Linked DNA regions of Arabidopsis thaliana. Each later gene encodes a partner of the first gene's protein in a complex. Each region holds a gene or a part of one and is shown on either strand. Other genes may lie near its edges.

Region 1 (6,593 bases):
ACTTTCATCATTCATGCATCTCTGCCCCCATTCTCTATTTTCTTCTATATTTCTCTAGTCAACCAAAAATTTTGCCTTAAGGAAACCAAAAGAGAAATCCAATTGAAAAGGATATTAAAATTAAGGGTAATATTAAAAAGAAAATTTTGGGCCCAACATCAGAACACCATTTTATGACTGTTTCTATTGTCGACTGTTTGACAAACTGAACAAACAATGGCTTTGATTGGTGAACAAAATCAAAGCACTACAATTTCTACAATTTATAAATTTATCAATCAAATATCAAAATTGTTACACTGTTTTTTTACAGTTTTTCTGTACTATTTTTCTTTTTCTTTTTTATACATCATTATGTACCATCTTACCATTATAACTACCAGGTAAAAAACTTGTAAATTTTTATATTATTAATAAGACCCAATATATATATATATATATATATATATATATATATATATAAGTTAGCAATCCAATGGTCTTGCAGTCTTTCATTATTGTAATGATGCTTATTAGGTTTTGTACTAAAATTAATGCTAATCAATTTAGAATTTACATAATAATATTTAGAATCATCTGTTTTTGTAACTATCTTAGTTTTAGAACTAAAAATAAAATAACCCAAAAAAAACTGGTAAGTACTAGTCTCTAATAGCTATGCTTTCTTTCTACAATATTATGGTAGTCAAATTATAAAAATATGGGGATGTTTCGAATCTTTCTACCGTAAAACTGGTTGTGTCCAAACGTATATATTTGGGATACAATAAAATAAAAAATAAGACTATTAAGCCAATGAATCATAATGAGGCCATAATTTTAAACGATTAATGGGCTCCTAAATATCTATCTTCATAATTCACACTCCACATGAATCTATTCCTAGTAACCCTAAGTGTTTTAATAATAGGATCTAGAGATGTTCGAAGATATAATTGCATTTTACTTTTCGTCGTACTTATGACGAAGCAAGCCTTGGACATCTCCGTTTTAAAACAGGGATCTCATGATCTTGAAAAGGATTCTTCAAGAAGCACAGAAAAAGACAAATTCGTATGAATTATTGACTCATATCAAAGTTATTTCATATAAACAAAATCCTATGAATTATTGACACTAGTCAAAACTCAATGAACAGATTGATTGGCCGTGAATGCTACGGTCCATGAAGGGATCGAGTGTGGACCAGTCTCTGCAATATATGTTGTTAGGTTGACTTGTTTTCACTAGAATCGTATGTTTTTCCAATCCATCAGTACGTTTAACTTCAAACCACCGTCAAATGAAAGCTAATTTAAACTTCTTCTTTTTTTGTAATATTTTGTGTCAACAATTGAATTTGATCCATGGTGAGAGAAACCTCTAAACGCCGGAGATATTTGTGATGTTTTAACGTGGTCTTTCATCTTCAATTGCTAGTTACGCCTAGAAACATATGTGACTTTAAACTATCAGATAAAGACTTATAAAACACACTTTTAAAAAGTCATAAACAAAGACATCTAATAATAATCAACCCTTAATTACACAAAAAATAATAATGTAAAACAATATTAGAATGATCAATTTTTAAAATATTTAGTTTTTTTTTTTTTTTGGTGATAGAAACTAAAAATTTAGACTATAAGCCGATAAAGCTGATAAGCCCATTAAGTATAATGAGACCCTAGTTTTCAAATTTGGACTAGACAAGCCCATTTACGGTTTTGGTGTAACACCAAAAAATACTGTTCAATTTACAATAATACCCATATATCACTTCATCTTCCTCGAAGAATCTTCATAATTTTTAATTCATCCTCCATTAGAATCCCTAGGGTTTTCTTCCATACACAATCAGACTCAACGATAAGTACCAATCGGAGAAGAGATCACAAGTGGATGATGAGTTACGAAGGCAACGGAGATGGTGTCGCTATCTCCACCGAAAACCACAACGAGAACTACATATCTCTAGAGAGCTCGCCTTTTCATGAAGACTCCAAGTCTCGAGTATGTTACACTTTCTTCTTTACATATCTTGCGTTCGATTCTGTAGCTTTTAGGTTTCTCTCGTGAATTAGACTGGTAATCATAATTTGTTCTCCACTTGTATTGTAATTTGGTACAATTCTCGGATTCTGCTTGTTGAATTTATGTTTTTGATAGTTTGATTTGAAGGATTCACTGGATTTAGAGTATATATTATCATGTTAAGTTCATATGTTCTCTTTAGAAATCTGGGGATAGTATATGAGAGAAGCCTTTTGACATTTGTTTCCTGCAGGAATCTCATGATCTTAAAAAGGATTCTTCGAAAATCAGTGAGAAAGACAATGAAAATGGACGTGATAAAGACGGAAACAAAGATCGTGATCGTGAGAAGGATCGTGATAGGGAGAAGAGCAGAGACAGAGATAGGGAGAAAAGCAGAGATAGAGATAGGGATAGGGAGAGAAGTAAGGATAGGCAACGAGACCGTCATCATAGAGATCGTCATAGGGACCGTAGCAGAGAACGTAGTGAGAAAAGAGATGATTTGGATGATGATCATCATCGCAGAAGTCGAGACCGTGATAGGTACTCATTAGTGTGTTGCAATTGTTTTTGTAGTTTTAGATTGTTTTATTCTTAAAATTGAAGGTGTAGTCATTTCTCGACAGGAGGAGGTCTCGCGATCGAGACAGAGAGGTGAGACACAGGCGACGGTCACGCTCTCGGTCAAGGAGCCGCTCTGAACGTAGGTCAAGGTCAGAACATAGACATAAGTCTGAACATAGATCACGCTCACGGTCGCGATCAAGGTCAAAGAGGTACCTGGGCTCTCCTGCTATTTTTATCTTTTCTAACTAGTTCTTTCCGTGGCCACATTGCAATGTGTTATGATATTGATGTCAAATCAAATAAAACCATTATTGTTTAGTATTTGATGTCTTTGTTTTGTTGACACAATATGATTATCATGGTCTTCTACTGGGTTGAACGGTCCCTCCTTATATGATTACCAATATTTTAGTCTGATCTGGGTCATTGATGTTTATGTGTGTTTCATACGTTTACTTGGCATTATTTTTTCGAACTCGTCTCTACTGATGTCTAACCAATTATATTTTGCTCTTTCAGCAAGAGGAGAAGTGGATTTGATATGGCGCCTCCTGATATGTTAGCTGCTACTGCTGTTGCTGCAGCAGGTATTTGCTTCATCATCTACTCAGGGTTATTATATTTCTTAACTGCTTGTTGTTTTTGATTTTACGTAGTTTGGAAAGATCATAGTCAATTACACGGTGTGACTTTGGTAAGCTGCAATTTTATTGTTTACTCGTGAACAAAGAGGACTTTGAAGTCTTGCTTTCTTCATAGGATGTCTTGTTATTTTTGTTTGACTGGTGGTTCTGGAACTGAGAAATTTTTTGTTTGTGTTTTTTTGGTGGTGTTTGTTTGTTTCTGTGTCTTGTCTTTTTGTAGTAAGAAGGCTATGTTGGGTTAGTTGCCCCACTGTGCTGACAATGAGCCGACCTCTCTAGCTTTAATTGTACAAGGAGGAATCAGTGCAACGGTTGTCATGGGTATTTTTCATCTTCGACTGGCAACTATATGCCTGTTTTCGAGCCTTACAATCTCTGACAACTAAAACGAATATTACATCACAACTTTTCATTTTAATATTCATAAGTTGTTGGTATACTTTCTACTTGTGGGTTTTGTAAGTAGCAAGGTGTTATCTGTAGCTTTGTACTTGTTGGTAGGTCTGCTCCTCCGGGAAACATAATAATGTATCTAACAAACATTTTTATGACGCATACTACTTTACCTAGCAGGCCAGGTTCCTAGTGTGCCAACTACTGCTACTATTCCAGGGATGTTCTCAAACATGTTTCCAATGGTCCCTGGTCAGGTATAAAAATTTGTATTTTTGTGTCTCTTATGTTCCTCTTTTCTTTTGTTTTATGCGAACATGCTCAGAACTTCTCAATCTTTTTTCTCACATAGCAACTAGGTGCGCTTCCTGTACTGCCAGTTCAGGCAATGACTCAACAGGTACGATCTATCAATCTATCTTATTCTTAGGTTCTTCACCTTTTGTCACGATTCCCTTCCTAAAATATGTAGTCGCAGGCAACTAGGCATGCTCGGCGAGTCTATGTTGGTGGCCTTCCACCAACTGCTAATGAACAGGTTTGTTACTTTTGTTTTGTTTAAGGTTTTGTGACTTTTTGTTTATTATTGTCTATTTAAACCACATTTCAATATCCATTGTATGCCTACTGAGAATGGGTTTTCATGTCCTAGTCGGTGTCAACGTTCTTTAGCCAAGTGATGTCGGCCATTGGGGGAAACACTGCTGGGCCAGGTATTGAAAAGTTCATTATATTTTTGTCATATTGGCCGCAAGTCTATACGAAATCTCATCCTTTTTTTGGATTATTAATTCATAGGTGATGCGGTGGTCAATGTTTATATAAACCACGAAAAGAAGTTTGCTTTTGTAGAGATGAGATCTGTTGAGGAGGCTAGTAACGCAATGGCATTAGACGGCATTATATTAGAGGTGATTTATTAGCTCTTCTACACTTTAGATGTTTGGTGTTTATTAGTTACAATCTGTATTATGAGTATTGAAACCTATCTGAAATCATAGCTTTTTTCATCTCTAGGGAGTTCCTGTAAAGGTGAGGAGGCCAACTGACTATAACCCGTCTCTTGCTGCAACTCTTGGTCCGAGCCAGCCTAATCCCAACCTCAACTTAGGGGCTGTTGGATTGTCTTCAGGGTCTACTGGTGGGCTTGAGGGTCCCGACCGCATTTTTGTGGGCGGACTTCCCTATTACTTCACAGAGGTACAGATCAGGGAGCTCTTGGAGTCTTTTGGGCCCCTAAGAGGTTTCAACTTGGTCAAAGACAGGGAGACTGGAAATTCGAAGGGATATGCATTCTGTGTTTACCAAGATCCGTCAGTAACAGATATTGCATGTGCCGCTCTAAACGGGATTAAGATGGGTGATAAGACACTTACAGTTAGGCGTGCAATCCAGGGTGCAATTCAACCTAAACCCGAGCAAGAAGAAGTCTTACTTTATGCCCAACAACAGATTGCTTTGCAGGTAAAGGATTCTGATTCACTCTATCTAAATGATCAGTAATGCTAAATCTGTCTCAAACTTTGTTGCAGAGGCTTATGTTCCAACCAGGAGGTACTCCCACCAAGATTGTCTGTTTGACTCAAGTGGTTACAGCTGATGATCTTAGAGACGATGAAGAATATGCAGAGATAATGGAGGACATGCGACAAGAAGGTGGAAAATTCGGTAAGCAATTAGATTTTCTTATTGTCTGTTCTGACATTATACCAATAGCACATTACTGAGGCTCATGGTCTAAAATGAACTTTGATAAATCATTGTTGTGTGTGTAGGTAACTTAGTGAATGTTGTGATTCCGAGGCCTAATCCAGATCATGACCCAACACCAGGAGTTGGGAAGGTTAGATTTCAGTCCTCAGATACAAATGTCTACCAAATTCATATATAAATTGCATACTCTAATGGTAATACTAATGCAGGTTTTCTTAGAGTATGCGGATGTGGATGGCTCATCAAAGGCCAGATCGGGGATGAATGGAAGAAAATTTGGAGGAAACCAAGTAGTGGCTGTGTATTACCCCGAAGACAAGTATGCCCAAGGCGACTACGAAGACTGAGCTATCTATCGTCTTCTTCTTAAGCTTTTAGTTTGGATCTCTTAGCAACAAGTTTGGTTCTTTTTTATTTTTAAGTTTTTTACATGTTTAGTTCTCTCTCTACTAAATGGAGAAATTTGTCTAGAATCTGACTGCAATAGTACTTGTCCAGGCACAATCAATTAAGGTGTGTGTTGGTAATAGTAGCTTTTGGTTTCATTGAACACTAACCAAACCACATCAGTTTATATTATTGTTCTTTTAAAAACTAAAAGACCAAACCACATCAGTTTCTAAATGCAATGCTGGAACATGTGCAATTGCTCTCACTAAACGTGAAATACTGGATTTATATTAGAAAAGTAAGATAGTAGGCAAGTAGCACCAGTGGTCTAGTGGTAGAATAGTACCCTGCCACGGTACAGACCCGGGTTCAATTCCCGGCTGGTGCATTTGAGCGTTGATGAAATTTGCTTTAAGCTAAGGTTGGGTCCTTAGCAATTCTCCGATGAATCGGATAATATAGCCTCATATCTGAGCTCATTTGTTTTTTATTTTATTTTACAACGAAAGTTACATGTCATGCTTTCACAAGACACATCTCATGTTACACGAACTTGAAGTTATGCCTGATAACACATTAATTTATAATTTATTAAAATATATATAACAATAATTTGAAGTTAAAAAAAATGAAAGAATTTTAAAATAATTAAAATTTGATAATGTAACAAGTTCCATATCACATCAATAATGTAGATTAGTGATAAATTTTTTTTCATATTTAGTAGAAAATGATTTGTATATATGAATACATAATTAAATATGATACTTTTCACGATAACAATGTGTAGTGTTTTGACAACCAGGAGGAAGATGGTACTGGTTGACTGGAACTCTGACACAATTTTTGGGATCTTGAGTGCAGTCTGGA
Region 2 (5,963 bases), on another chromosome or scaffold:
AAGTCAAGCGTGAAAATCGTGATGTTTGAAGGAAGTAATACGATCGCAGCTTCACTGGCATCAGCTCTACATCCACTGAATAAGAATGAATCCATTAATGAATAGTATACTAAAAGAAACATTAAGCTATTATGATAATTGGAAAACTTTAGTAATGTTGGCAACCATATCAGTTGTTTCATTTCAATGCATGGTTGTCATAGTATCCTACCAGCTATTGCATCGATTGAAGGATGAGTTAACTAGCTTATTTCACCAGTACAGCTCAAATCACGTTTTATTAAAATAAAAGTTACGATTACCTGTTGCCATGGCAGTATATTACACAAGGTAGAGGCCTATCTTCAGGACGCTCAACTGGCATGTAATGACTACACTGAAGGATATCTCCTCTGATGTTTTTAACCTGTCACAATATAAGTTCTTCTATAGTCTTAGGTGAACAAAGCACAACTAAAACCTTGAGATCCTAAAGGCAGTCCAAGGCTGGAAAATAAGGAACTCACGCTGATCAACAGTGAACAACTGATGAAATCTACATTGACATTGAATCACAACATGTTTGCTTGGATTCTCTAGTCAGGAGTTCACAACAACAACAGAAGAAAAAAAGCTTTACCTCTAAATCTTTCCTCTGGTACCATCTCCCTTTAAGCAAGAACTCTTGTTCCAAGAGATCATGTTCTGGATTGTATTCAGCTCTACATCAAAACACCAGTTATATTCAACCGTAGATGAAACAAACTAATTAAAACAAATTGGATTTGAAAGAGGAACAGGGTTTTCTTGAGGAAATGCAACCCTAAATCCTAGTATATATTACTTCATCTATATAAAAATCCAAAATCAACTCAAGAACAAGAACCAAAATTTCAAAACTCAAATCTAAAAATCTAAACTTTGTGTGAAACCCAATTCTACAACCTAGTAAAGAGAAATAGAAAGATGAAACTGAAAACTAAATTCCAGAATCAGTAAGTAATTTTTTTCAATTTTCTGAGAGAATCATCACCTTGGAGGTCGAATGACGAAGTTAACAAGCTGCTCCATTAGAAAAAAATCAAACAAATCACCTTCTTCTTCTTCTCATTCTTCCATATTTCTCACAAATAGTCAAAAATCGAATAAAACCTAACCAACGAAAGAGATTCAGATAGAACAAGAAATGTAACTAAAAAAACCCTAAATCAAAAGATCGAGCTGTTCCAGAAGAAAGACAGTGAGATCGAAGAAAGAAAAACACAGAGAAAGAGAAGAAAATAAAGCAAAGTAATAGAAAAACGGCTTTTTCGTTGTTGAAGCCTGAAACTGTTTTTATATTTAAAAATATATAAACAAACTTTATAAATTAGCCCCACATTTTTGCCGCTTTTTACATTTAACGTCTTCACATTTCATTATGGAAATTAATTAATTGGTATTGTCATGTATAATCATTAATCATTATTACTAATTCCAAAGTTTTTTCAGTGAAAGCTGACATTGACCAAAGTCTCTTAAAAAATTTCGAAAAAAAACTCAAAAATTCAATTAAGGTTTTTTAGTGGAGATCGTGCACGTTAATTGTCGTTTATAGGCTATTGTTTTAATTATTTTAAAATATATACGAGGTAATTAAGAGATTAATTAAACTTAAACATATGAGGTTAATTATTACAAGTACTAATAAAGCTGTAATGTGGAGTTTGGAATTTTCGACAACAAAGTGCACATCTGGCACAGAGATTGTCACAGCACGAAAGATTTTTTTGTCGTTCTTGTAGGATTTGCTGGCACGTGTGGAATAGAAAACACACGAGTGAAACCATCGTCGGTCTTTGTAGCCCATTATTTATACTTCTATTGGGCTGGACTTAAGCCCATAAGTAAGCATCTCTGTTACAAGAAAACGGGAAACAGATCTGAACCGTTAATAATATTAGAAAGGATCTAGACCGTTGATTTATTTATCTGCTGACAGATTCGTACCTTCGCGAATATCAATACCAAACCAATAGAAATATTCGTTCGCTGTCTTCTTCCTCTTCCTCCTCTCAAATCGGCTACAGCCATTGGAAAAGCTAAAGCCTTTTCGTAATTTCTGGAAGTTTCTGCAGTCGGTTTTCACGGTTTCGTAGATTGAGGTGGATTTGTGATTCTGGGTCAGAAGTAAGATAGTGGAATATAAATTCATGGATTCGGATCAAGGAAAGCTTTTTGTCGGTGGTATTTCATGGGAAACTGATGAAGATAAGCTGAGAGAACATTTCACCAACTATGGAGAGGTTTCTCAGGCTATTGTGATGAGAGACAAGCTCACAGGTCGACCTAGGGGTTTTGGGTTCGTTATCTTCTCGGATCCTTCTGTTCTCGATAGGGTTCTTCAAGAGAAACACAGCATTGATACCAGAGAGGTTATTATTGTTCTCTTATAGCTCCATTTCTCTAATTGTGTTAAAGTTTTATCCTTTTTGCGTTTTGCTGTGTTGATTGAGAACGAGAGTAAATATAGAATTTTGTTTGGTTGGCAAATTCGCCTTAGTGTTTCTTAGATTCTAGGATTGGTTTTAACTTGTATAAGAGGTATTATAGGGTACTCGATATATGTTAATCGTACACTCTATGAAGTGATTGAGTATAGTATTAGAAAAGAGAGCTTGGTTTGGTTTATTAGGATAAGGAAAAACAGATGTATATATTTTCTGTTGCGTTATGTTCTCGATTTGGGTAAAGTATGATTCTTGGAAGTTTATTATGAGCTTTATTGATTTTGGTTAATGTTTAGGTTGATGTGAAGAGAGCCATGTCAAGAGAGGAGCAGCAAGTCTCTGGAAGAACTGGGAATCTTAATACATCTAGAAGTTCTGGAGGTGATGCTTACAATAAAACCAAGAAGATCTTTGTTGGAGGCTTGCCACCTACTTTGACTGATGAAGAGTTTCGCCAGTACTTTGAAGTTTATGGCCCTGTGACTGATGTTGCAATCATGTATGACCAGGCTACCAACCGTCCTCGTGGGTTTGGATTTGTTTCCTTCGACTCTGAAGATGCGGTAGACAGTGTTTTGCACAAGACTTTCCATGATTTGAGCGGTAAACAAGTTGAAGTAAAGCGTGCTCTTCCTAAAGATGCCAATCCTGGAGGTGGTGGACGATCAATGGGTGGTGGTGGCTCTGGTGGTTACCAGGGTTATGGTGGCAATGAAAGCAGTTATGATGGACGTATGGATTCCAATAGGTTTTTGCAGCATCAAAGTGTTGGAAATGGTTTACCATCTTATGGTTCTTCTGGTTATGGCGCTGGCTATGGAAATGGTAGTAATGGTGCCGGGTATGGTGCCTATGGAGGTTACACTGGTTCTGCTGGAGGTTATGGCGCTGGTGCTACTGCTGGATATGGAGCAACGAACATTCCAGGTGCTGGCTATGGAAGTAGTACTGGAGTTGCTCCGAGAAACTCATGGGACACTCCAGCTTCTAGTGGTTATGGGAACCCAGGCTATGGGAGTGGTGCTGCTCATAGTGGATATGGAGTTCCTGGTGCAGCTCCTCCTACGCAGTCACCATCTGGCTATAGTAACCAAGGCTACGGTTATGGAGGGTACAGTGGAAGTGATTCTGGTTATGGAAATCAAGCTGCATATGGTGTGGTTGGAGGGCGTCCTAGTGGTGGCGGTTCAAACAACCCTGGTAGTGGTGGCTACATGGGAGGTGGTTATGGTGATGGATCTTGGCGATCTGACCCGTCACAAGGTTATGGTGGTGGGTACAATGATGGTCAGGGTCGACAAGGCCAGTAGTGACTGTGTAAGGGGATTATGACCGCCCTGGTTTCTGGATCCTTGTCAAGAAGAATTTAGCTCAAATCAAAGGTTCCACAACTTCCTAACGGGTTGGACTGCTTGAATCTCTTTATAAGCATGTGCTATCTATTACAATAAGTCACTTCTATTAAGTTATTTTTCGGTTGAGTGTACTTTTGAGTTTTGGCAGAGTTATTATAACTACAGGCTTTGCTGTTTTCGTATTATGTTTGTCTTCCTAGTATTCTTGCCGGATTGTTTGTTTTGATTGTGTTATTTTGTTTTGGCCCTGATGGATATAACTTAAGCAGGGAATAATGCTTCAGGGTACTTGTTAAGAAAGCAGATGGTGAGAGCAGAACTCGATGGAGGTGAGAGTCAAATTGCTGAATGTATGGTTTGAGTAGAAAGTAGAGGTAGTTGGTAACGTTAGTGGTACCATTAAGAAGAAGGTGTAGAAAATAGTGAGAGGTAGCTTTGAGAAAAAGGCATAATCATTTTGCGTCGTGTGTTTGTACAGGACTTATCAAGGGCTGCTTGAGTTCTTAGGTGGGGCAACGACTCATCGAGGTTGAATTCAAGGTCTGCTCCTACTCCGAGTTGAGGTAATCACTTGAAGAACGAAGAGGCAAGGTGTTATCAGTATGTGAGCTACTAGGTTCTTTTGTGAGGGGTGAGATTGAAACAAACATAGATAGGCACACACTGTGATAGCACAAGGCAGAGCCACATTGTTAAAATATCTTTTGGGATTACGGGGTTTGATCCGTAATGATGGATATTAGGATACCAAATTCTCATAATTATAGATAGAAACTAGTGGAAACTCAACAGTACAAAGCTTATCTTGAGCTGTGAAACTCAAAGTTACAAATACGTGAAAGCTAATTTAATTTATTCAGAAGTAGTTGCTTTAACCAACTTGTTTACGTGAGACATCCATGCAATGCAACTACAATCTTCTTCTCATTTAGCTCAGTGGTGTCCAAACCAGCCAACACCAAAGCCCCATCCTTTACCTTTTCCAATGCCGCCTCCAATACCACCACCTTTGCCTATTCCGCCGCCAAAGCCCCATCCTTTACCTTTTCCAATGCCGCCTCCAATCCCACCACCTTTGCCGATTCCACCACCAAAGCCTCCACCTTTACTAATGCCACCTCCAAAACCACCGCCTTTGCCTATTCCGTGGCCGAAAATGCCTCCACCTTTACCAATGGCACCTCCAAAACCACCACTTCCCCGGCAGCGATTCCACCTCCTTTGCCAAATCCTCCACCAAAACCACCTCCAAAGCCCTTTCCTCCGCCTATGATGGTCTTCTCCTCTTCATCTTTTCCAAAGGTCACACCTTCTCTTGCAGCCACATAATTCACCACAAAAACATTGAACCACAACAAAGCCAAGAGAGCAGCTCCGTTAACAACGAGACTCCCCATCTCTTTTGTTTTTTTTGTATGTATTAAGTTATGTTTGTTTTTGTATAAGCCAAGACGAGACCAGCTCCGTTTATAAAGGCGAGTGAGTAGCCAATTAATTACACCAACTACTAACTGATCCCGATTGTTTTAACCTCAACTCGTAAATGACTTTACGTTTTCGTAGATTACCCATCACATATTCACTCTTACCATGACTTCATCGACGCATTTTCTAGTCTATAAGACTATAAGACTACAACTCCATACGAGCTTTAAGTTTTCATTTTGGTACAGTAAGCATATAACCTTTTTTTTTGTCAAATACAGAAGTATATAACTTTCTCCAAATCATTTTCTAGATAAAGTAATAACATTTTCGTTATGTTCTTTTTTGAAGCACATCATTTCAATAAATTTGAAAAACTTTTTTTCTTTTTTTTGATTGAGAAACTCTCGTTATATGGAAGTGAGAGAATGATCAGAATAATAAACTATAGTTTGCTACGTCAATGGACAACGTTTATTATTGGTTTTTTAGTTTGGTGGTTTGATTCTATGTACGTAGACGTTTAATCTAAAGTTCTCTGTAAAGCGAAACATTATTTAGGTTTACAACGAATGTCTAATATTGACAAACAAAAGAAGAAGAATGTCTAATAGATAGATACTTAAAATGTAGATAAATAAAAGTGTTACAGGAAATTGATTTAAATTGGTATGTGTGTTTCTCAAATCTACTAAAATATGGTTAGAATTAAGTA

The links.
Region 2: AT1G60900 (region 1) and AT4G14300 share a complex: the UniProt entries of both Arabidopsis thaliana proteins name them as parts of the spliceosome.

The regions. Positions count from the first base shown.
Region 1 is NC_003070.9:22,422,127-22,428,719, forward strand, and holds AT1G60900 (U2 snRNP auxilliary factor, large subunit, splicing factor), read left to right. Parts: upstream 1-1,767; 5' UTR 1,768-1,881; coding exon 1,882-1,992; intron 1,993-2,266; coding exon 2,267-2,559; intron 2,560-2,642; coding exon 2,643-2,792; intron 2,793-3,102; coding exon 3,103-3,170; intron 3,171-3,800; coding exon 3,801-3,877; intron 3,878-3,972; coding exon 3,973-4,020; intron 4,021-4,098; coding exon 4,099-4,158; intron 4,159-4,272; coding exon 4,273-4,333; intron 4,334-4,418; coding exon 4,419-4,531; intron 4,532-4,637; coding exon 4,638-5,084; intron 5,085-5,152; coding exon 5,153-5,288; intron 5,289-5,395; coding exon 5,396-5,463; intron 5,464-5,542; coding exon 5,543-5,680; 3' UTR 5,681-5,927; downstream 5,928-6,593. Other genes in the region: AT1G60913 (Rapid alkalinization factor (RALF) family protein), read right to left, coding at 6,479-6,593. UniProt on the Arabidopsis thaliana protein: Necessary for the splicing of pre-mRNA.
Region 2 is NC_003075.7:8,229,008-8,234,970, forward strand, and holds AT4G14300 (RNA-binding (RRM/RBD/RNP motifs) family protein), read left to right. Parts: upstream 1-1,994; 5' UTR 1,995-2,171; coding exon 2,172-2,393; intron 2,394-2,764; coding exon 2,765-3,778; 3' UTR 3,779-4,152; intron 4,153-4,301; 3' UTR 4,302-4,756; coding exon of another isoform or gene 4,757-5,004; 3' UTR 5,005-5,069; coding exon of another isoform or gene 5,070-5,220; 3' UTR 5,221-5,274; downstream 5,275-5,963. Other genes in the region: AT4G14290 (alpha/beta-Hydrolases superfamily protein), read right to left, coding at 1-75, 303-406, 620-701, 1,013-1,050; AT4G14301 (uncharacterized protein), read right to left, coding at 4,757-5,004, 5,070-5,220. UniProt on the Arabidopsis thaliana protein: Involved with pre-mRNA processing. Forms complexes (ribonucleosomes) with at least 20 other different hnRNP and heterogeneous nuclear RNA in the nucleus.